Linked DNA regions of Canis lupus familiaris. The protein of the gene in region 1 interacts with the protein of each later gene in a biochemical or structural test. Links are inferred from orthologs where the notes say so. Each region holds a gene or a part of one and is shown on either strand. Other genes may lie near its edges.

What was found.
Region 2: the proteins of FOXA2 (region 1) and OTX2 form a complex in vitro, tested with the Homo sapiens proteins (2 studies listed by BioGRID). The link is inferred for Canis lupus familiaris from reciprocal best matches to the Homo sapiens genes FOXA2 and OTX2.
Region 3: the proteins of FOXA2 (region 1) and HOXA5 form a complex in vitro, tested with the Homo sapiens proteins (2 studies listed by BioGRID). The link is inferred for Canis lupus familiaris from reciprocal best matches to the Homo sapiens genes FOXA2 and HOXA5.

What each region holds. Positions count from the first base shown.
Region 1 is NC_049245.1:1,386,626-1,393,104, forward strand, and holds FOXA2 (hepatocyte nuclear factor 3-beta), read left to right. Parts: upstream 1-2,656; 5' UTR 2,657-2,943; coding exon 2,944-3,030; intron 3,031-4,045; coding exon 4,046-5,365; 3' UTR 5,366-6,142; downstream 6,143-6,479. UniProt on the Homo sapiens protein: Transcription factor that is involved in embryonic development, establishment of tissue-specific gene expression and regulation of gene expression in differentiated tissues.
Region 2 is NC_049229.1:32,745,762-32,752,158, reverse strand, and holds the start of OTX2 (homeobox protein OTX2), read left to right. Parts: upstream 1-2,043; 5' UTR 2,044-2,133; intron 2,134-2,281; 5' UTR 2,282-2,348; intron 2,349-6,397. UniProt on the Homo sapiens protein: Transcription factor probably involved in the development of the brain and the sense organs. Can bind to the bicoid/BCD target sequence (BTS): 5'-TCTAATCCC-3'.
Region 3 is NC_049235.1:40,412,415-40,418,966, forward strand, and holds the start of HOXA5 (homeobox protein Hox-A5), read right to left. Parts: upstream 3,605-6,552; 5' UTR 2,869-3,604; exon of another isoform or gene 2,713-2,868; 5' UTR 1,904-2,712; coding exon 1,009-1,903; intron 26-1,008; coding exon 1-25. Other genes in the region: HOXA6 (homeobox protein Hox-A6), read right to left, coding at 3,618-3,877, 5,274-5,535. UniProt on the Homo sapiens protein: Sequence-specific transcription factor which is part of a developmental regulatory system that provides cells with specific positional identities on the anterior-posterior axis. Also binds to its own promoter.

The DNA.
Region 1 (6,479 bases):
GCGGACCCCAGGCCGCGGGAACCCTCGGGCTTCTCGCCGTCGCCGATGCCTAGAGCGTCCCGCAGGCCGCCCTGGCCCTCCTGCGAGCGGCCCCGACCCGAGCCCTCCGCGCCCGCGAGCGCCGGGAGGTGCTTGGGGTTTGCGCAGAACTCCGGGGAACTCCAAAGGAACGCCAACGGCGTGAGGAGAGGCCTGGGAGGAAAGGTGCCGGGCGCCCGGCTGCTGGGTTAGGAGCGCGCAGGGGTGAGGAGGGTTGGGTCCCGCCCAAGGACAGCGCAGCCGATAGGGGGCGCCCTATCACTGCGGGAGCCGGCGCGGAGCGCTCCCGGGCGAGCCCCCCCCCCGCCCCCGACCACCCATTGGGGCGAGCACCTGCGTGCCTCGCTCTCAAGCTCGCCCCTTGGGGAGGTCGCGCTCCTTCCTCCCGCGGACCTCCTCTCCCGGCTCCGCTCCTTCCTTTTGCCCAGGGAATAATTTCTAAACCCGTATTTTCGATCAGGAGCAAAAAGTGAAAGGGAAGTGGAACGCATACATGTACAGATTGGGTTCAAGTCCATACACACCAGAAAGTTGTCTGGCTTTGTTCACAGCTTTGTCTGTTTGGACGTCTCTTTTCTACTGAACACGAGAGGCGCCTCTTGGGGGGAGTGTGTTTTTGGCGTGTGTGTGTGTGCGTGTGTGTGTGGTCGCATTTCTACTCTGGGTCTATGCAGAAAGCTTTGAAAAACTTATCTTCTGAGCGTCGGTGCATACCCCGCTTTCCCAAACCCTGGGAGAAAGATTAAATTGCTCCCTTTGTATTCTGAGGCGAGATGAGAGGAGCTGAGATAAGATGAGAGCTCTGCCTTCCCAAGTATGCTCCCCAGCCCACGCATGCACTGAGTGTGCATGCACCCCACAACAGACTTTCCGGGTGCACCGGGCCGGCCTGCCTCTCAGGGAACTCTGCGCTGCGCTAGGCTTTCAAAGCCCCAGACTTTGGCTTTGGGGGATCCTGCCCTGGCACTCGTTAGGGGTGGGTTTATTAACCCACTCACTATGAACGGGTCAGTTTGCGGTTCAGCGCTGGGGTTGCTGCCTGAGACTGCATCTGGTTCAAAGCGATTCAGGCCTGAGATAACCTGGGGTGAAGAGAAGGGGTGGCTTCCCTACCTGGACTGCTCTTCCTCCCTGTACTCCTAGCCTGGCCCTCACACAGACCTTCTGTTCTTGGTGTTCAGCTCAGTGCCTGCCACCTCACCTCCGTTTTCTGACACCATTCCCATAACTTTGGACAGGTGGGCCAGATATTATTTCCTACTTCTTTAGCTCTGAGATGGGGGCCACGGGGCTGGATGCTCATGGCCCAGCATGTTTTTAGAACCAAGAAAAGAAGTTCACATCGAACACCTGTAATACCCCGAACCCTGCAATCTGGGATCCCTAGGGTATTAGTAGGTGGCCCAGAACGGATGAAAATCTGCACCCCGAAGCTGGAGCAAAAGTAAGAAGGAAGTATATGGTTGCGGAACTTCTGATTCTTCTAAAAGAGCCCCTCAAGAAAGCAGAGAACGCAGACTCTCCCGAAGTAAATTCCATGTGTCCCATTATCGATTCCTTTTTTTCCCCCTCTCTTGTCCTGCCTCACCTCCCACCTCTTGCCCTGTTTGTTTTAGTTACGAAATGCTGTGGGCACCTCGGTTGTGACTGCAAAGTAACCTTGAAACACGGCGTCCTGAATGTCAGAGACAAATAGCAGCCTCCCGACCGTCGACTGCAGCTGGCGGGGCCGAGTGCGCCCGGCGCTCTGCGACGCCCCCCCCCCCCCCCCGTCCCCGTCGGTCGTGGGAGCCGGGCTCGGAGGAGGCGAGACCCGCGGCTGCGGGACCCCGAGAGCCCCGCACGCCAGCCGGAGCCGCCCCGGGTCTGAACTGTAACAGGGAGGGGCCTCCCAGGAGCAGCGGCAGGCGAGTTCCAGGTGTGTATACAGGTTTTCTAAATACGACGGTGCTTTGCAAATTGGCTCTGTCACCGTCTTGTCGTTTTGACAGGTTATGAGCGCTGAGAATGAAGAACCCCGGGATGAGTCAATGGGGCATCTCTAAGGCTCTGCAACGGGGCTACCGGGCGCTCTGGGGCCGGGCGGGGGTCAGAGCTCCGGCCGCTCGCGGGGAGGAAGGCACCCAGGTCCCTCCTGCCACCGGCACTCCCGGCGCGCGCAAGGGTAAAGGGGGCTGGGGCAGGGAGCCCGCGCGCCCGCTCGCCCGCGCGCCCCCTCGCCGGCCCGGTACGGTGCGGGGCGCGGCGGCAGTGGGGCGGGCGCCGGGCGCGGAGGGGCAGGTGCCGGGCGCCGGCCGAGGCTCCCTCTCACCTAGGTGTGAGCTGATTATTCAAATGGGCTGCCCCGGGTCTGGGGATTGGAGGCCGGCGCCGGCGCGCCGCGCTATATCACCAGCCGCCCACGTCACTGCGGCACTTGTCCGCTCCGCGGTCCACACCTCCTCCTCCTCTCCTCCTCCACCTCCTCCACTCCTCCACCTCCTCCTGCTCCTCCTCCTCCTCCTCCTCTCCACCTCCTCCCTCTCCCCCCCACCCGCCCCCGCGCCGCGCGCTTCCCGCCGCCTCGGGGCAGCTCGGCACTGCCAACCTCGGCCTCCGCCCGGCAGCCCGCGAGCGCGGCGGCGGCGGCGGGCGGCTGGCGGCGGCGCTCCCTGCCGCGGGACTCGGGGCCGACCTCCTCTGGTCTCCGGGCCCCCTCCTCCCGTAGCTGACCCCTCCCGCCCCTTCCAACTACCGCCTCCGGCCGGCGGAGGGAGAGAGAGGGAGTGGAGCCGGAGACAGGGAGTGCGAGGAGAGAGGGAGGGAGGGGACGGTGCCTTGGCTGACTTTTTTTTTTTTTTAAGAGGGTGGGGGTGGGGGGGTGATTGCTGGTCGTTTGTTGTGGCTGTTAAATTTTAAACTGCCATGCACTCGGCTTCCAGTATGCTGGGAGCGGTGAAGATGGAAGGGCACGAGCCGTCCGACTGGAGCAGCTACTATGCCGAGCCGGAGGTAGGCACTCGCCTTTTCCAGGGGGAAGCAGGGTGGCGGCGTTCGCACCGTCTCCCAGCCTCAGGACCGCTCCTCTTGCGGGCACCCGCCCCCCACCCCCAGCCGCTCTGGGCAGCCGCCTTTTCCACCCTCCTTCGACTCAAATGGGTCTCTTTTTTATACGACACACTGTTAGCCTTGAGATAATATTAACTTTGTGATCAAATATTGACTTGCGGCGCCTCCAAATCCTCTTCGTGGCCGAGCCACGCACTATCCTAACAGAGTTATGTTTGGCAGCGCGCGGCTGGGGAGGGGTGGGAGGTCGGCCGGCGAGGGGGTGGGGAGCTGGAGAGAAGGTGGGTAGGCGTCGGGGGCCGAGGTGGAAGCAGAGTCAAAGACTAGGAACAAAGAGAAAGAAAGTTTGTGGCTGCAAAGCCCAGCCGCGTGTAGCCCAGTCCTCGGTCTCCTCCCTGCCGCTCCGCTCAGAGCCTCCAGCTGGCCCCAGACCCTGCGCGGGCACTGGGTTTCGGCTCCCCCGGGGCCAGAGATGGGGTCCCGGGGCGGGGTGGGGGGGAGGGTGAGCGGAGAGGACGCCGGGACGACCTCCGCCTGGGGCCGCCGGGCGCCCTGGGCTGGGACCCTCCGGTTGTTCACCAGGGTCGGAGGTGGCGTCCGAGGCCGCGGCGCGGACCCGGTGTGCCGGCCGGACAGTCGCGGAGGGAGGATGCGTTCGAGGTGCCCGGCCTAGGGGGGCTCCGGGGAACCCTGGCTTGAGAATCCAAGCGAGGCGCACAAGGGCTGGGATCTGGCCGCAGGCAAACGGCAGCAGCCTGCTTGCCGCCTCCTCCAGGGCGGTCCCGGCGCTCTCCGAGCGCGGCGGCCACGGCGTCCCCGACGCGGACCGGGCGAGGGAAGGGTCCCCAGAGGGCTCCCCGGAGGCAGGGCGCCCGGGCGGGCCTGGCGGGTGGGAGGGCGCGCACGCTCTCGCCGCGGTGCTAACCCTGTGCGCCTCGCTCCCGGGCTCTGTCCGCAGGGCTACTCCTCCGTGAGCAACATGAACGCCAGCCTGGGGATGAACGGCATGAACACGTACATGAGCATGTCCGCGGCCGCCATGGGCAGCGGCTCCGGCAACATGAGCGCCGGCTCCATGAATATGTCGTCGTACGTGGGCGCGGGCATGAGCCCGTCCCTGGCCGGCATGTCCCCCGGGGCGGGCGCCATGGCGAGCATGGGGGGCTCCGCCGGGGCGGCCGGCGTGGCGGGCATGGGGCCGCACCTGAGCCCCAGCCTGAGCCCGCTCGGGGGGCAGGCGGCCGGGGCCATGGGCGGCCTCGCCCCCTACGCCAACATGAACTCCATGAGCCCCATGTACGGGCAGGCGGGCCTGAGCCGCGCGCGCGACCCCAAGACGTACCGGCGCAGCTACACGCACGCCAAGCCGCCCTACTCGTACATCTCGCTCATCACCATGGCCATCCAGCAGAGCCCCAACAAGATGCTGACGCTGAGCGAGATCTACCAGTGGATCATGGACCTCTTCCCCTTCTACCGGCAGAACCAGCAGCGCTGGCAGAACTCCATCCGCCACTCGCTGTCCTTCAACGACTGCTTCCTCAAGGTGCCGCGCTCGCCCGACAAGCCCGGCAAGGGCTCCTTCTGGACCCTGCACCCCGACTCGGGCAACATGTTCGAGAACGGCTGCTACTTGCGCCGCCAGAAGCGCTTCAAGTGCGAGAAGCAGCTGGCCCTGAAGGAGGCCTCGGGGGCCGCGGGCGGGGGCAAGAAGGCGACCGCGGCGGCCCAGGCCTCGCAGGGTCAGCTCGGGGAGGCCGCCGGGCCGGCCTCTGAGACTGCGGCGGGCACCGAGTCGCCCCACTCGAGCGCCTCTCCGTGCCAGGAGCACAAGCGAGGGCCCCTGGGAGAGCTGAAGGGGACGCCGGCCGCGGCCCTGAGCCCCCCGGAGCCGGCGCCCTCGCCGGGGCAGCAGCAGCAGCAGCAGCAGCAGCAGGCGGCCGCCCACCTGCTGGGCCCTCCGCACCACCCCGGCCTGCCGCCGGAGGCCCACCTTAAGCCCGAGCACCACTACGCCTTCAACCACCCCTTCTCCATCAACAACCTCATGTCCTCGGAGCAGCAGCACCACCACAGCCACCACCACCATCAACCCCACAAAATGGACCTCAAGGCCTATGAACAGGTGATGCACTACCCTGGCTACGGTTCCCCGATGCCGGGGAGCCTGGCCATGGGCCCGGTCACGAACAAAGCCGGCCTGGACGCATCGCCCCTGGCCGCAGACACCTCCTACTACCAGGGAGTGTACTCCCGGCCCATAATGAACTCCTCTTAAGAAGACCCCGACAGCGGGCTAGCCTGGGACAGGGACAAGAGAGAGGAAATGGGGCGGAGAGTTTGAAGAAGGGGTGTTGTTGGAGAGATCCAAGGAAGAAGAAAACCATCACATCCCCACCCCCAGGACAGCAGTCTCCCCTCACCCTCTGCAGCTCTCCCTCCCAAATAGATGGGCCACACTGATATTATTCTATATAAGGAGGGAAGGCAAGAAGACAAACAGTCAAAACAAAAAACAAAAAAGAGGAAGAAAAGAGCAAAAAGCCTCCGATCTCCACTGCTGTGTAGACGCCTGCTTCTTTTAAGCATTTGCGAGTTCTGATTTTTCATTGTCATCTTCTCCTCCATTGCTGCTGTTGCAGGGAAGTCTTACTTTATTAAAACAACAACAACAACAACAACAAAACAGAAAACAAAAAAAACCCACAAACTTTTGTGAGTGACTCAGTGTAAAACCATGTAGTTTTAACAGAGAAACAGAGTTGTACTATTGTTTAAAAAGAAAAAAAAAAGATGTAAGGGTCTGTTGTAAATGACCAAGAAAAAGAAAAAAAAAATGCATTCCCATTCTTGACACGGTGAAATCCAGGTCTCGGGTCTGATTAATTTATGGTTTCTGCGTGTTTTATTTATGGCTTATAAATGTGTGTTCTGGCTGGAAGCGCCAGAGTTCCACAAATCTATATTAAAGTGTTATTGCCAGTTTTACACCTTGAATCTTCAAGATTTTTTTTTCCCTTTGCCTGACTTAAAAAATAAACAAGTCTAGATATTATTTAATGTGTGTGTGGGGGGGATCCTGGCTGGTTGCAGATTTCATTTTCTTTTGGTGAAGGGGGGCATGACAGTTGTTTTGACAACATTTTATTATTAAAACTTTCAGACATACTGAAGTTGAACAGGTTTTACAGAACACAAAGTACCCATTGCCCAGATCCTACAGTTATTGTTTCACTATACTTCCATTGGTCAATTCAGGTTATTTTTTCTAAATGCATTTCAGATGCAATCAGGTACATTCAGGGTGGTATGGCCATAGACCTGAATACATTTCAAAGTAAATTTCAGACATCAGTATACTTCCCCCTAAACAGTTCAGCAAGCTCATCATT
Region 2 (6,397 bases), on another chromosome or scaffold:
TCTTTTCCTTCTTTGATGCTTTAAACATCATTGCGATCAAACTGGGAGAAACACTGTCTTTTCTCGGGGTGGGAAGGAGGCTCTGGCACAGGGGATCTGGGTGGATTTGGCCCTTCCTTCACCGAAAGTATCGTGACTCTGGCCAAGTGCTCCCAACCAATGGGCGAGACCGCCTAGGGCATTTGTGGCTCTCTCCTCCCTCCCCAGTTAAGGGCCGGGCGGGGGCGGGGGGCAGTCGCCAGGTGTTTCGGTACAGTGGGGGCGGGGTGAGAAAAAAAAAAAAAAGGTCTATACTCACCCTCCCCCCCCAGCCCGGGACCCCAGAAAGTCGCGACTCCTGGGACCGCGACAGCCAGCGGGTCTCTCCGGACTGGAGCGGGCGCTGAGGGTTCGGGAGTTGCTGGGCAGACCCCGGGCCGCTCGGGGGCTCGTTGGGACGCGGGGGCCCAAAGCTCTAGAGACACCTGCGAGGCTGGCCGCGGCCACCGAGCGCCCAGCCCCAGGCCGAGCCGCAGCCGGAGCCCAGCCGCGCTGCCGAGCGCTCGCTGCCTCGTGCGCACTCCCGTAATTCGTTAATTGCTGTAAATCCCAAGGACGGCCACATTTGATTACACATACAGTATAAGAACCGACAACAAAGCGACGAATTAATTACCAACTTCATTAACATAGGTCCCCAAATTAAAGGCAGCGAGCTGTTTCTTTGGGCCCACTTGCCGTGGTGGTGGTGGTGGTGGTGGTGGTGGTGGTGGTGGAGGAAGGGGGAGGGTGTTTAGAAAGAGATTTTATTTTTCTTCTCCGGCAGTGGGAGTCATGAGGGCAGAGATGTCTTCTGCTCCCCCCACCCACCACCCCTCCACCCTCAGCCGGTCCTCTGGTGCACCCCCCCCCCATTCCCTCCGCCCAATCTGCTTTTCTAGGGACTCAGATGGGTTTGGAAGCTGTCGGGTCCCGCTCTCTGTGCCAGGCATTAAAGTTAGGCTGGGGCTCGCTCCCTGGCTCGGGTCCCCTGGTGCCGCCAGTCTCCCGCCTCCGGGCTCTCGGCCCCCGGCTCGGGCCGCGCGGGCTCTTAGCTCCAGGCCCCGCCGCCGGCCAGTGAGGAGCGTTTGTCTTAACGTGGAGCCGTTTCCAGCGCGGGCCTCCTGCGTTCGCGCCCTCCCCGGGTGCCCGGCCGACCCCTCTTCCTGACCTGGCTCCCGCCGTCTCCCCAAACCGGCCCTGGGGTCAGACGCCCCGGTGGTGTGCCCGGCAGCCTGCCTTGGGCTCCTGCAAACTCTTAAAATCCTGTGCGGGTAACAGGAGCCCGAGGCGCTCGCTTCGGGGACCGGGGAATATCGATAAGGGCGCAACGAGTGGGAGAGACCCTGAGTTTCTGAAAATAGTTTGTGATTGGACTTGTGCATCCGTCTTTCCCTTGCCTACACGCCCAACGCTGGCTCCCAGGCCGCCTTCTTTCCCCCTTTCTGGCCCTCAGCGTGCTCTGACCCTGGTTAAACCGGCGTCGTGGCCGTTTTAGGCTTCAGCCCGACTTGCTCTCTGCGTCTGACCCACACGCTCACCGCCGGCGTTGCAGGCGATAACCCAGCTACTGCTCCACCCTCGCTCTTCTCCAGCATTTACCTAAACATTTTTATCTTTCCATCTTATTGTATGGGTTTCCTTTTTCCCCTTCCCGAAAATCAAAATAAAACAAAAAGGGAGGGGGGGGGGAGAAAGGAAAGGAAGGAAAAGAAGAAAAGGAGAAGAAAGGTAAGGGAGGCCTCCCTGTCCATCATTTTAATTATACAATTAGTTCACATGCTCCGGCCCATAATGTATATTTTAAGCGGAGCCCAGTGTCTTTCAAGAACATTCTGGTAATGTCGGAGGCCTGGATTTGTTGCCCGCTCGTCCCCCCGTGCAGCAGCGGCCTGTTTTCCTCCCCCTGTTGTGTGTTTTTATTATTTTCCCTCTGGCTTAGATGTGTCAATCATTCTCTCCCTGCCATTGGTTGGAGAGTTTGCGTCAAAAAGTTGCCAGAGAGGCGCTTTCTCAGCAAATCTCCCTGAGAGCGGAACCGACCTCAGCTCCAACTCAGCCTCCACTGTTATTAAAAATAAAAATCGCTAGAGCAGCCCTCATCACGTCTACTTTGTATGTATCCCAGAGGGGCCCACGCGTGTTTCGAACTCGAGCTACTTTCCTCATTTTCTATTCTTTAAATTTTTTTTTCGTTGTTTGACTTTTCATGGAGGGTTGAAGACTGCAAGATTTCTAACTCAATACTCTTGATTTCTTTTAGGATAGCGGGCTATTTGGAATTTTGAAGGATAATTAAATTTTTTTCTAACTTCCCATGCGGCCGTAAGGTAAGTGTCCGTCTGTCTTGTCTGCCTGTCTACACCCATGTGTTCCTCTGACTACCATCGCCCCACTACCTCCAATAGACCGACTAAAGCACACTTCTGGGAACGTGGAGTTCTTCTGAAGCATGTTGTATTTTTCTCCCTCGTAAATGTTTTTAGGTGTAGTAACGATCATTGCGAAAAATGTGTGATCTGGAGGTGAGGGCGGGAGTGAGAGGAGGGGAGGCAGCGCGCTCCTGGGGTCGCCGCTTCCGCCAAACGTCGTGGAAACCCTGCGAGGCTAATGTGGGGTGTTCTGGACGGGTTTTGTTTGTGGTTTTGTTTTATGTCAACGCCCATTCTGGGCTTCTCCCTGCTAATTTTGCGTTTTGGCTCTCAGATGTGGCTGGGTCATTTGTACCGATCTCAAGGACATTTTCAGAGTCAGACAAAACGCTGCAGATGTAGCTAGATGGATGGGTAATGATGATGGTGGTGGTGGTGGTGATAAGACAGGCGTCTTCTAGGGCCCGCGTGCCCGTAGCCCGACTCGCTCTCCGATTGCCGGGTGAGGACGGTCGCAGCTCGAGCCCTCGCCTGCCCCTACTGAACGGGAGGGGAAACCCGAGCGGATAACCGAGGAGGCTCGCCGCTCTTTCCGGGGCCCTCTCCCGGAGCCCAGAGCAGCTCCCTGCGATTCGCCCTCCGTCCTCCTTTTCCTTTTTGATCACCACTTGTCTCCTCCCAGAATAACCTGGGAGTGCGGGAACTCCCCCACCGCCGGCTGTCGTGGTCCCAGCCCCGGGTCACCAGGCCGGGCGAGAGCTGTTTGCCCGGGATGGTTACCGGCCCGCGCGGGGCAGCCGTCCGCGGGCATCCGGGGCTGGCCGAAGTGTTGGGGAGTGGCCCCTGCTGCGCCCGAGGCCGCGGCGGGCCGGGGGACAGGAAGCCTCACCTTGGGGCAGGCGGCCCCTCCGCCCTCTGGCCTGGGGGCAGCGCCGGGGCCTGCGTGCGCGCTCGCGCGCTCCCCTCCCAGGCTCGGGGACAGCCGGCTGCCGTGGGGCCGGGCGGGGGTCGAGGGGGTGCACCCCGAGGCCCAGCCCTCCGTTCTCGGTCCACCCAGGGAGAACCATCAGGTCTCCACCAGCAGCCAGCCTCGGCGACGTGTTCCGCCGCCAACTGCAAAGAGGTCTTCCCGCTGATGCGTTCAGGGGCCTCTTGGAATCACGGTCCGACTTCGGAACGCATCTTTCTGAAATCGAAGTCCCCGGTCAGAACTCCCACCGAGCTGGCTTTTTCCTCCGGTGCAGACAGTGGTGGGCTGTGGGGACAGAAGGCCGAGCTGCGTTGGCCCTGGAGTGCTGGGGGACTTGGGGAGGGCACGGGGCAAGTCGGATCCTTGAACACCCCCCACCCCACCCCACCCCACCTCGGTCCTAGAGCTGCGGGTCCGGATTTCTCGCTCCCGCTCACTTCGGGACTTTTTCCAGGCACCAAAAGTTATTAGCACAGGAGGCGAGTTGGAGAGCAAACTCCTCCCCCCAAAGGAAGGTAGACACCCAGACCTCTCCTCTCCGAGCTAACACTGGGGCTTTCTCCTCACCATAATTAATAGTCAAGGCCAACCCTTTTGGCACGTTTCTTCCTCCCTCCCTCGCGGGTGGCAGCGCTGTTCGATTCCCCGAGGCCAGAAACTTTCCCTCGAGTTCGCCCGAGAGGGAGGCCCGCGCCGGCCGCCTCCGCGGTGCCCGCATCTCTCCTCTTTCTTCTCTCCTGCCTTGCGCTCTCTCCCGAGCCACAGGCCAGTCGCCAGTCCGCGTAGTTTTGTTTCTTTTCCATCATGCAGAAAATTAATCAGCCCGGACGAGAAGCAGAGCTGAGCACGGCGGCCTGTAATTAAGGGACGTGTGCCCCTCGGATTATCTCGTTAGTTTATCAAGAAAACATTTATTATAATTAATTCTTGGACGAGGTAATTATTATTGAGCGAGGACACAGCAACTGGTAGATGGGCTCCTTGGAAGGAAAAAAAAAAAAAACCAACAAGCGGGGCGGGGGGTGGGGGAGATGCGGGGGAGGTGGGGGGAGAGCGACAGATTGCACGAATTGACCGTTAGATATAAGGCGGCGCGGGCCGGGGCGGGCAGTGGAGCCGGACCCGGGGCGCCAGGACTGCGGGGCTGCCGCGCGGGGACGCCGGACCGAGGCATCGCGCCCGGACTTGCGGCGCCCGCCGGCCGCGGGCACTCGCCGAACCACCGTCACCCGCTCCCGTAGGTAGGAGTTCTCCAGCCGCCACCTCCTGAGCGATCATATGGAAGCTTGTAGCTTTGAAAGGGTCTTTCTGTCCCCCTTCTAGGCTCGGCTTAGAGAGGAAGGGAGAAAGGTGTCCATTTGGGGCTTTGGAAGTTAGATGGAAGGGCCCATGGCCTCTTCTTTGGAGAGTGCATACCTAGGCCGGCTGCTGAGAGTACTTAGTTTTGTTTGGGGGTATGTCTCTTTCTCTTTCAAAGATGCAATCCAGTAGTAAAAGCGAAAAACTGTTTACTCCTAAATTTTAGTGTTATTTGCGTTGGTAAGGGCACAGGAGCTCCAAGAAGGATCTTTGCCTGGTGCTTTCTATCTGCTACTGCCTTTTATGTTGGAATGTGCCACTTTCTGTAACAGACATTTCTAATTGGGTGAGAATTCTACATGTAAAAACAATTGCGTGTGTCTCATGTGTACATCTGCTATGATTTTAGTTTTTTCTACAGTAGTTCAGAACTTTCCAATGTAGTAGGATTGTATTAAGAGAGAACTCCAGCTCAGAGGCTATTTAGACAAATAAAATGACTGTATTTTAAAGCAATATTATTTTCACAGCCTCCAAATAACTGTCTTGAAAAGAGAGTAGAAAATATCAAGTCTTTGTTATAGGATCTACATTAGTTTTGCTGATAAGATAGTACAAATTCCCCCAAAAGGGGTATTTATAAAATTACATTAAATCAGATCTGAGGGTGGAAAAGCATGTTTTTTGTGCTATGAATTTAAAGCAGGAAGAAGTTAGAGTAACTGGGTTCCATTTGTGGACTTTTGTGTCTTGATTTCTAAAGCAATGTAAATATGAAAATCCAATGCTGAAAACTCAGTAGGACCTTTGTCAAAGTAAGAGGCAACTTCTCCTAATCTTGTATCCGCCATTTTGAAGCAATCTCTCATAGTGTCAAAGTTGCAAAGTAGAGATCCTTGCAGGATAAGTGCCATTTTTTAGGCAAATAAAAGCCAGACTTGAAAACTGTCAGCCCATATTAACATCCAGTTTGGATCCCTTTGCTTGGGGCAGTGAGAGACGCTCAGCTGAAGACAGTAAATAACTTTTCTTTTTCCTTCCTTTCTTTTGCTTCCCTGAGCTCTTTTTCTTTATAGGATTGTAGGAAACTTGAAAGGTAGGGAGAAATTCTATTAGTTTCACAACTTTGGGTGTTTGTGTATCTACCTTCCTCAAAACTAAAATGTGCAAAAGGCAGCCGGAATTAACAAGAAACTCTGCTCTAGTTGCTGAGGACCCAAATGTCTGAAAATTTGCCTCCCGCAGGATCTACAGCCTCCACAACACCAAAATCAACATGGAAGCGGCTTGCACTACAAATGCTTACGCTTTCTACTTGCAAATGTGGGGGCCTGTCATTATCTGATTGGTGGGATTCTAACTTCAGAATTCCTAGCAAACCTCATGCCAATCTTTAAGACTTTTTTTTGCAGTATGTTTAAATATTTGATGGGTGTCGATTAAAAGTTAAATACTTGTTTGTTTAGCTTTAGTTCTTTAGACACATAATCAAGGTCCTCCAAAACCTTAATAAATCTGTTACTTACCTCAAAATCTAATTACCCAGACTACTAATTAGGTGAAAATGATTACTGGAAATGACTTCAAATGTGGAGTAATAGCGGTTGAACAGTTTTCTCAAGTTTGTCGATTAGCAAGTTGGTATTTTAGATGTTAAATGCACTGACATTTTAGGTTCACAGCAGTTAAAAGTGGTAAAAAGCTAAGGTAATTAAAATTTGCCTTGGAAAGGCAACAG
Region 3 (6,552 bases), on another chromosome or scaffold:
TTGCCTTCCGGGCCGCCTATGTTGTCTGCAACAGAAAAGTCAGCGATTTAGCCACCAACTCCGCAGCCCCCGGGTGCCCAAGTCGAGCTGGGGTCCTGAGCAGGGAGCGGGGGAGAAACGCTCAACAAGTCCTCCCTGCTCGCCGGCCCACCCCTCCCGAATTTCCTTCCCTCTTCCTTTCTAGAGAGAACACAATACAGTTTGGACTCTGGGAACAATCGGCCCATCTGAGGCTGGAGCCGCGTCCCGGAGGATCGCCCGGCTTTCCTTCACCCCTCTCCTGCCCTCTGGCCCTGCCCCTGGCGTCCCGAGGCGGGGCACTGCCCTCCCAGGCAGCCCACCTCTCAGAAACCCACGGAAGCAAGGCCCTTTCCTGAGCGCCCAAGTGGCCTCCAGGTCACCCTCCCCTAAAGTTCCAGCCCCGCGAGCCGCCTTCTGTTCCAGCCTGCACGCTTGGGGCGCCTGCTTTCTTTTTCTTCCCCTTTCTGCTGTCCCTTCTGCTCCCAAACTTCAGAATCCCGCCGGCTCTCGCCTCGATTATTCCCCCCCCCCAAGCCCCTTTTCGGGGACTCTAATTAGTAACGCTGTTTCCCCAGCGTAGCCCTCCTCATAAATTATCCGCCCTGACAAGCCCAATTCACGGCCCCTACTGCCATCCTCTACCTCTCTGCGCCCTGCTCGGCTGGCCTGACCCGGGAGCGCGTTCCGAGGCGCTGGGGTTCGATATGGGATTTTTCCTCCCCACCCCCCCGTTTCAACATCTAAACTTGCCTGGCCAGCGGCCCTTCTCCCCCACCCCCATCCCTCCCCGTCTGCGAGCTTTGGGCGCTGCAGAGAAGAGAAGGTGAAAGGAGGAAGGCAGGGGAAGGGAACGGCGGGGAGAGACTCCACAGGGCTGGGAGAGGCGAGACCAGGAGACAGACGGGAAGAGAGGGCGGTAAAGAAGAGAGGGGGGACCGAGAGCCGCGCCCCCGCGGCCGCGTGGATTTAGAAAAAGGCTGGCTTTACCATGACTTATGTGCAGCTTGCGCATCCAGGGGTAGATCTGGGGTTGGGCGGGCGGCGCCGGGCTCGGCTCGCTCTGCGCGCTCGCCTGCTCGCTGCTGGCGGGGGCGTCCTCCTCGGCTCCGGACGCCGTGCCAACCCCCTCTCTGCTGCTGATGTGGGTGCTGCCGGCGTTGGCCGAGGCGCCGCTGGAGTTGCCCAGGGAGTTTTTCCCGCCGTGGTGGCTGTCGCTGCCGGGCGAGGGGGCCACGGCGGAGCAGGGCAGCGGGTCGGGCGGAGGCGAGTGCGTGGACGTGGCCGGCTGGCTGTACCTGGGCTCGGCGGGCGCCGCGCTGGCGCCGGCCGCGTAGCTGCGGGCGCGCTCCCCGGAGCCAAAGTGGCCGGAGCCTGAGCGGCCGACGCTGAGATCCATGCCATTGTAGCCGTAGCCGTACCTGCCGGAGTGCATGCTCGCCGAGTCCCTGAATTGCTCGCTCACGGAACTATGATCTCCATAATTATGCAACTGGTAGTCCGGGCCATTTGGATAGCGACCGCAAAATGAGTTTACAAAATAAGAGCTCATTTGTTTTTTGATATGTGTGCTTGATTTGTGGCTCGCGGTCGTTTGTGCGTCTATAGCACCCTTGCACAATTTATGATGAATTATGGAAATGACTGGGACATGTACTTGGTTCCCTCCTACGTAGGCACCCAAATATGGGGTACGACTTCGAATCACGTGCTTTTGTTGTCCAGTCGTAAATCCTGCCTGATGACCTCTAGAGGTAAACTCGTGCACTAATGGGGGAGTTGGGTGGAGGCGAGAGGGGTGGCGCGCGCGCCGCAGGCGCGTGCCCGCCACCCGCCGCCGCCGTTCAGTCGGACTCGAGCGCCACCCGCTGGAGGCAGGGCGCATCGCTCCGCTTCCGACCCAGGGCTGCAAGGGCCGGGGTCGAATTGAGGTTACAGCCCATTATGGCAAAATTATTGCATTTCCCTCGCAGTTCCATTAGGATGTACCAATTGTGAGGCCGTCAGCTGCCGATCGCGCGCCCGGCGAGGATGCAGAGGATTGGGGGGAGATGGTGACTTGGATTTTATTTACAACAACTTTATTTCCCCGCTGTGCAGCCCCTCTTATTTTTGTGTCGAGGTTGGGGTCGGTTCTGCCCGTCGTGCCGGCAGCTCTGAAATTTGAAAATACAGATATCACCTTCGGGGAAGGGGGGAGGCCATTTAGCCAATTGGAGAAATAAATCCTGCCCGCAGCAGCAGCTACAATTACGGCTCTGTTTTTCTGTGAGTGCATGAGGGACAGTGTCCCTGCCGCTCTTAAATGACAGGCGTCTATTAAAGATAGCTTTTGTGTAGTGTTTCTCCGAGGCGAGGTCAAATTCCATACACTTTTATAACCGGAGTCGATTTTTCTTTCGTGTAAATATGGTTTTCGTGTCATTAGTTCGCTATTTGATTTGCTTTAAGTATCCAATCCGGAGAATCTTCACCACCAGGTCCCTTTCCTGGAGGCAGCCGGGCCCCAAGTCGGAGGGTTCTCTGTGAACCCAGCCAGTGGGCCCAGCCTCCCCGCAGCCACAGAAGCTGCTTGGAGGCTGGGGATCCTTGGGCCGAGGTATGAGCGTCTTGCTTAGACCTCCAGGAGTAAAATGAGGGTGCTAATGGAAGCATTTCGTGCCAGTGCCTAGTAGCTTCGTATTTTCCTGGGTCCTGAAAGACGAAAGTAGATCACGAATATAGCCGAAAGGCATGGGGGGGTGGGGACTTCCCGCTGGAGGCTGAGCGTCGCAGGCACCCCTGGCACATTTGGAAACCAGGACTCTTGCCCCATGGCCCCGAGCCCCTTCCTTTGGTCCTGAAAGCTACCCTGGTAGCAGCGCAGGCACCATCGGAGGCGGGGTCCGGGATCCGGAGCTGGAGCCTTCGGGAGCCCAGGCTCTCCGGGGGCTGTAAAGTTCCACCCGCGCCCAGGTTGCGGCGGCTCGGCTGAGGCTGCTTCTCTTCCACGGACGGTTGCGCGCGCGGGGCCGAGAGACTAGGCTGTCTCAGGGCCCCCTTTGTTCCTTACGCTTCTTCCTGTCTAGGAGCGGCCTGGAATGCCACTGCAGTGCTGGGGCCCCGGCCTTTAGGCCCCCTCTTTCCAGTGGCCCGAGTCGATTTGGTGGTACCCTCCGGGACTTGGTGGCGAGGGACCGAGGCGGAAACGCCCAGACACCCACCGAAAGGGGCTCGGCCCCGGGTTCTTTCCTCTCCAGCAATCCCGCGTCCCCGAGCTCAGGAGCACGCAAAGGCGCAATATAGCACAAGAGCCAGGGACGAATTCGGGGCGCGCCCCGGGATCCGGAGCCGGCTAGGGCAGCCTTGGAGAGCGGGACTGTGTGTGCAGTGCGCCCTGCTCCACCGCTGGGATTGGCTGTGTGTAGTATTATTATTATTATTATTATTATTTTTTTGGTAAGAAATAAATGCTCAGGCGTTTGCAAAGCTCCCAACTCCCCTGAAGCTGCGGAAGCCCCCCGGAGGAGCAGGCGGGGGAGAAAAGTTGGGGAGCAGGCGAAGGCAAGGGGGCAAAGCCGAGGGAGGTTGCGGCGCTGGCCTGGTCCCTGCCCAGGCGTCTACTCGCCAGCCTTTGCCTCCGCGTCCTCCCCGCTGGGCTGTGTGGAATTGATGAGTTTATTTTCCTTTTTCCACTTCATGCGGCGGTTCTGGAACCAGATCTTGATCTGGCGCTCGGTGAGGCAGAGCGCGTTGGCGATCTCGATGCGGCGGCGCCGCGTCAGGTAGCGGTTGAAGTGGAACTCCTTCTCCAGCTCCAGCGTCTGGTAGCGCGTGTAGGTCTGGCGGCCTCGGCGCCCGTGACTCCCATACACAGCACCTGCGGGCAGAAATGGCCGGGCGCCCGGTGAGCCAGGATCCCGGCAGCCGAACCAGTCAGACCCGCGCCCCGCGCCCCTGGCCTCTAAACTGGAAGCCCACTCGCCTCCGCTCCAGCCTCTTTCGCTATGTCTAAGGCCAAAAGCCGGCCGGATGGGAGAAGATTATTTCCTACCAAGCGAGATGTTTTCCACCTAAAACAATTTGGAGTGAGAAGTTATTGTTTTTTTGGAAAATCTGCTCAGTCAGAAAACCATTACAAGCAAAATAAGAGAATGAGCTGCTTAATTCAGGGTACCTGAGTTGTGCTTTTGTGGGAGTGTAGTCTGTGTGTGTCTGGAAGGGATGGGTGCGGAACCCTGGAAGTAGGTTGGACCCTAGGAATTCACACACGGATTTCTGTGAAGGTGTTACTGTGGCCACACATGTCAGGACTCAACATGGGGGTTTTTTGGAAGATGAAAAATGGTTAGCCCTCTCAAATCTTTGCAAACTCCCCCAAACTGTATGGCCCTTCTGAGAAATACAGCACTCTCTTGGAAAAAAAAAAGTGGATCTTAAAGCAAAACACTATCAGTCTAAAAATCTGCACTAGGCTCTGCCCTGCTCCAAGGATTCTCTGTCGAGTTTTCGGAAACCAGAGGCAAAGGGATGGAGCGATGGGCCATCTGGGGTTTCTGGAAATGTAGGACTGTGATGGGCTATCTGTTCTGGTGCCAAAGGAGCCCATGGGTGGGGGGCTCCCCCCCCCCCCCAAGCTGGGTGTGTGAGACTCAGGCAGGGCCTCAAAAGGAGGCACAAGTTGGCTAAGAGTGAGCAGTTGAGTGGAAGGGGGAGGAGGGGAGGGAGGGGAAAGAGAAAAAATCCTGAGGCTGGGGATGTGGCCCTCCAAGGCTTTAGGGAGACACTAGTGAGAGCCTTTAATCTATATGGATTTCTGAAAGGCAGAAAGGAGAGGGGTTGGGGAGTGAAAGGGAGTTATCAATGGTGGGTGCAGAAGGCCATCTCTGCTTGGGGATCTGAGCAGGGTGTTATTACCAGGGTGAAGTGTGGGCAGGCACTCCCTCCCACCCAGCCTAGCTCTCTGTTCAGGTTGCCCCTGTCACTGAGTCTCACATAGAGTGGCAGTGACCCCTCTCGATTCCCTAAGGTGTCACCTTACAAGGATACTAGTGCCGAGCCTTCACACGGCCACAGCTTGATTGCCTCACTGGGCATGGGTTGGGGTTGTTTGTTTTTGTTTTTGTTTTTAATCTCTTAAAAAAGCCAAAGAAACTTTGTTCAGTCTTTCCTCCTCTCTTTCTATTTCCTCCTTCTACTTTCTCTGTCTCCGCCTTCCTTCCTCCTTTCCCCGTCTCCCTCCACTCTCCTGGGGGGGCTGCAGGGAAATGCCTTACCCGCGCAGGAGTTCATCCGCTGCATCCAGGGGTAAACGGGGCTCGTGTACTTCCGGTCGGTGCCTTCGTCATGGAGGGCTTTGCCCGGCACGCTGCTGCTGTCGGGTTTGTACTGCTGCTCGGGAGAAAAGTGCAGGTAGTCCCCGGGGCCCCTCTGCTTGCCACTGCCCGAGGGCGAGGCGCCACTGAGGTCCTTATCAGAATAGAAACACGAGGCCCCGTACTCGTAGGACGCCCGGTTGCAGGCCAGGACCGAGTTGGACTGTTGGTAGAAACAAGGTGAGGTGTACGTCTTGTCCGGGAGGCTCGACGCCCCGTACGAGGCCGGGAAGGGCCTCAGCGCGTCATAGCCGGCCGGGTAGAGGGGCAGCTGGCCCAAGAAGGAGTCCTGGCCGCTGGGCAGGCTCCCGGGGAAAGTGGGATTCACAAAATAGGAACTCATTTGCGCGCCCCTCTGCAGGACTGTGATTTGTTGTGTATTAGTACATCTGGCTATAACTATTAGTAGTCATCGAACTGGTTTGTTTCTGGATGGCCGAACGCCAAAAGCGACAGCAGCAAATCGCACCAGCTGACGCGGCGGCGGCCAATGGGAGCGAGCGCTGGAGCCCGCTCCCCGGGGACCGCGGCGACCGAGGCAGCAAAGTTACAAACAGCCCCCAGCCCGCCCGCCCGCCGCCGGCCCGGCAGATTGATGGGCGCGCACAGCCAGCCGGCCCGGCTCTCCTCCCGAACGCCGGCGGCGGGCACGGCCCGGGTAGGGGCGTGCGGATCGGGCCGGGCTAGGGGCACTGGAGTCCGGGCCGCCGCAGAGGCCCCGCCAGGCCCGCTCCTTCCTCCTCCCCTTCTTGCCTGGTCGGATTTTGCTGGTTTTTCTTTCCAAACAGGAAACCTGGCAGCCCCGCGCCCGGAGGGGCGGTGACAACGCTGGCTTTGCTCCCCACCGGCCTGCCCTCCCGGCAGGGCCCTGAGTTTGCCCCTCCCTCTGCGCTCCCCTACCCGTGGGTGCGGGTTCCAGAGCTCGAGAAGGGGGTGTGAGAAACCAGGCCTTCACGCCCTGCTCCTCACTCCTGCACCTTAGCAATCGGTGCATCCCTTTCTCCTCTCCTTCCCCACACCCACCGAGGGCCTGGGCCTCGCTGCCGCCACCGCCGCCGCCGGGTGCGGAAGGCTCACCTCCAGCTGACCAGGATACGGCCAAACCTCTTCCCCGACCGGCCCCATCCTCCCACATACAACACGCCTCCTTTGAGTCCTGACGGGCTCCCCTCCAATGGCC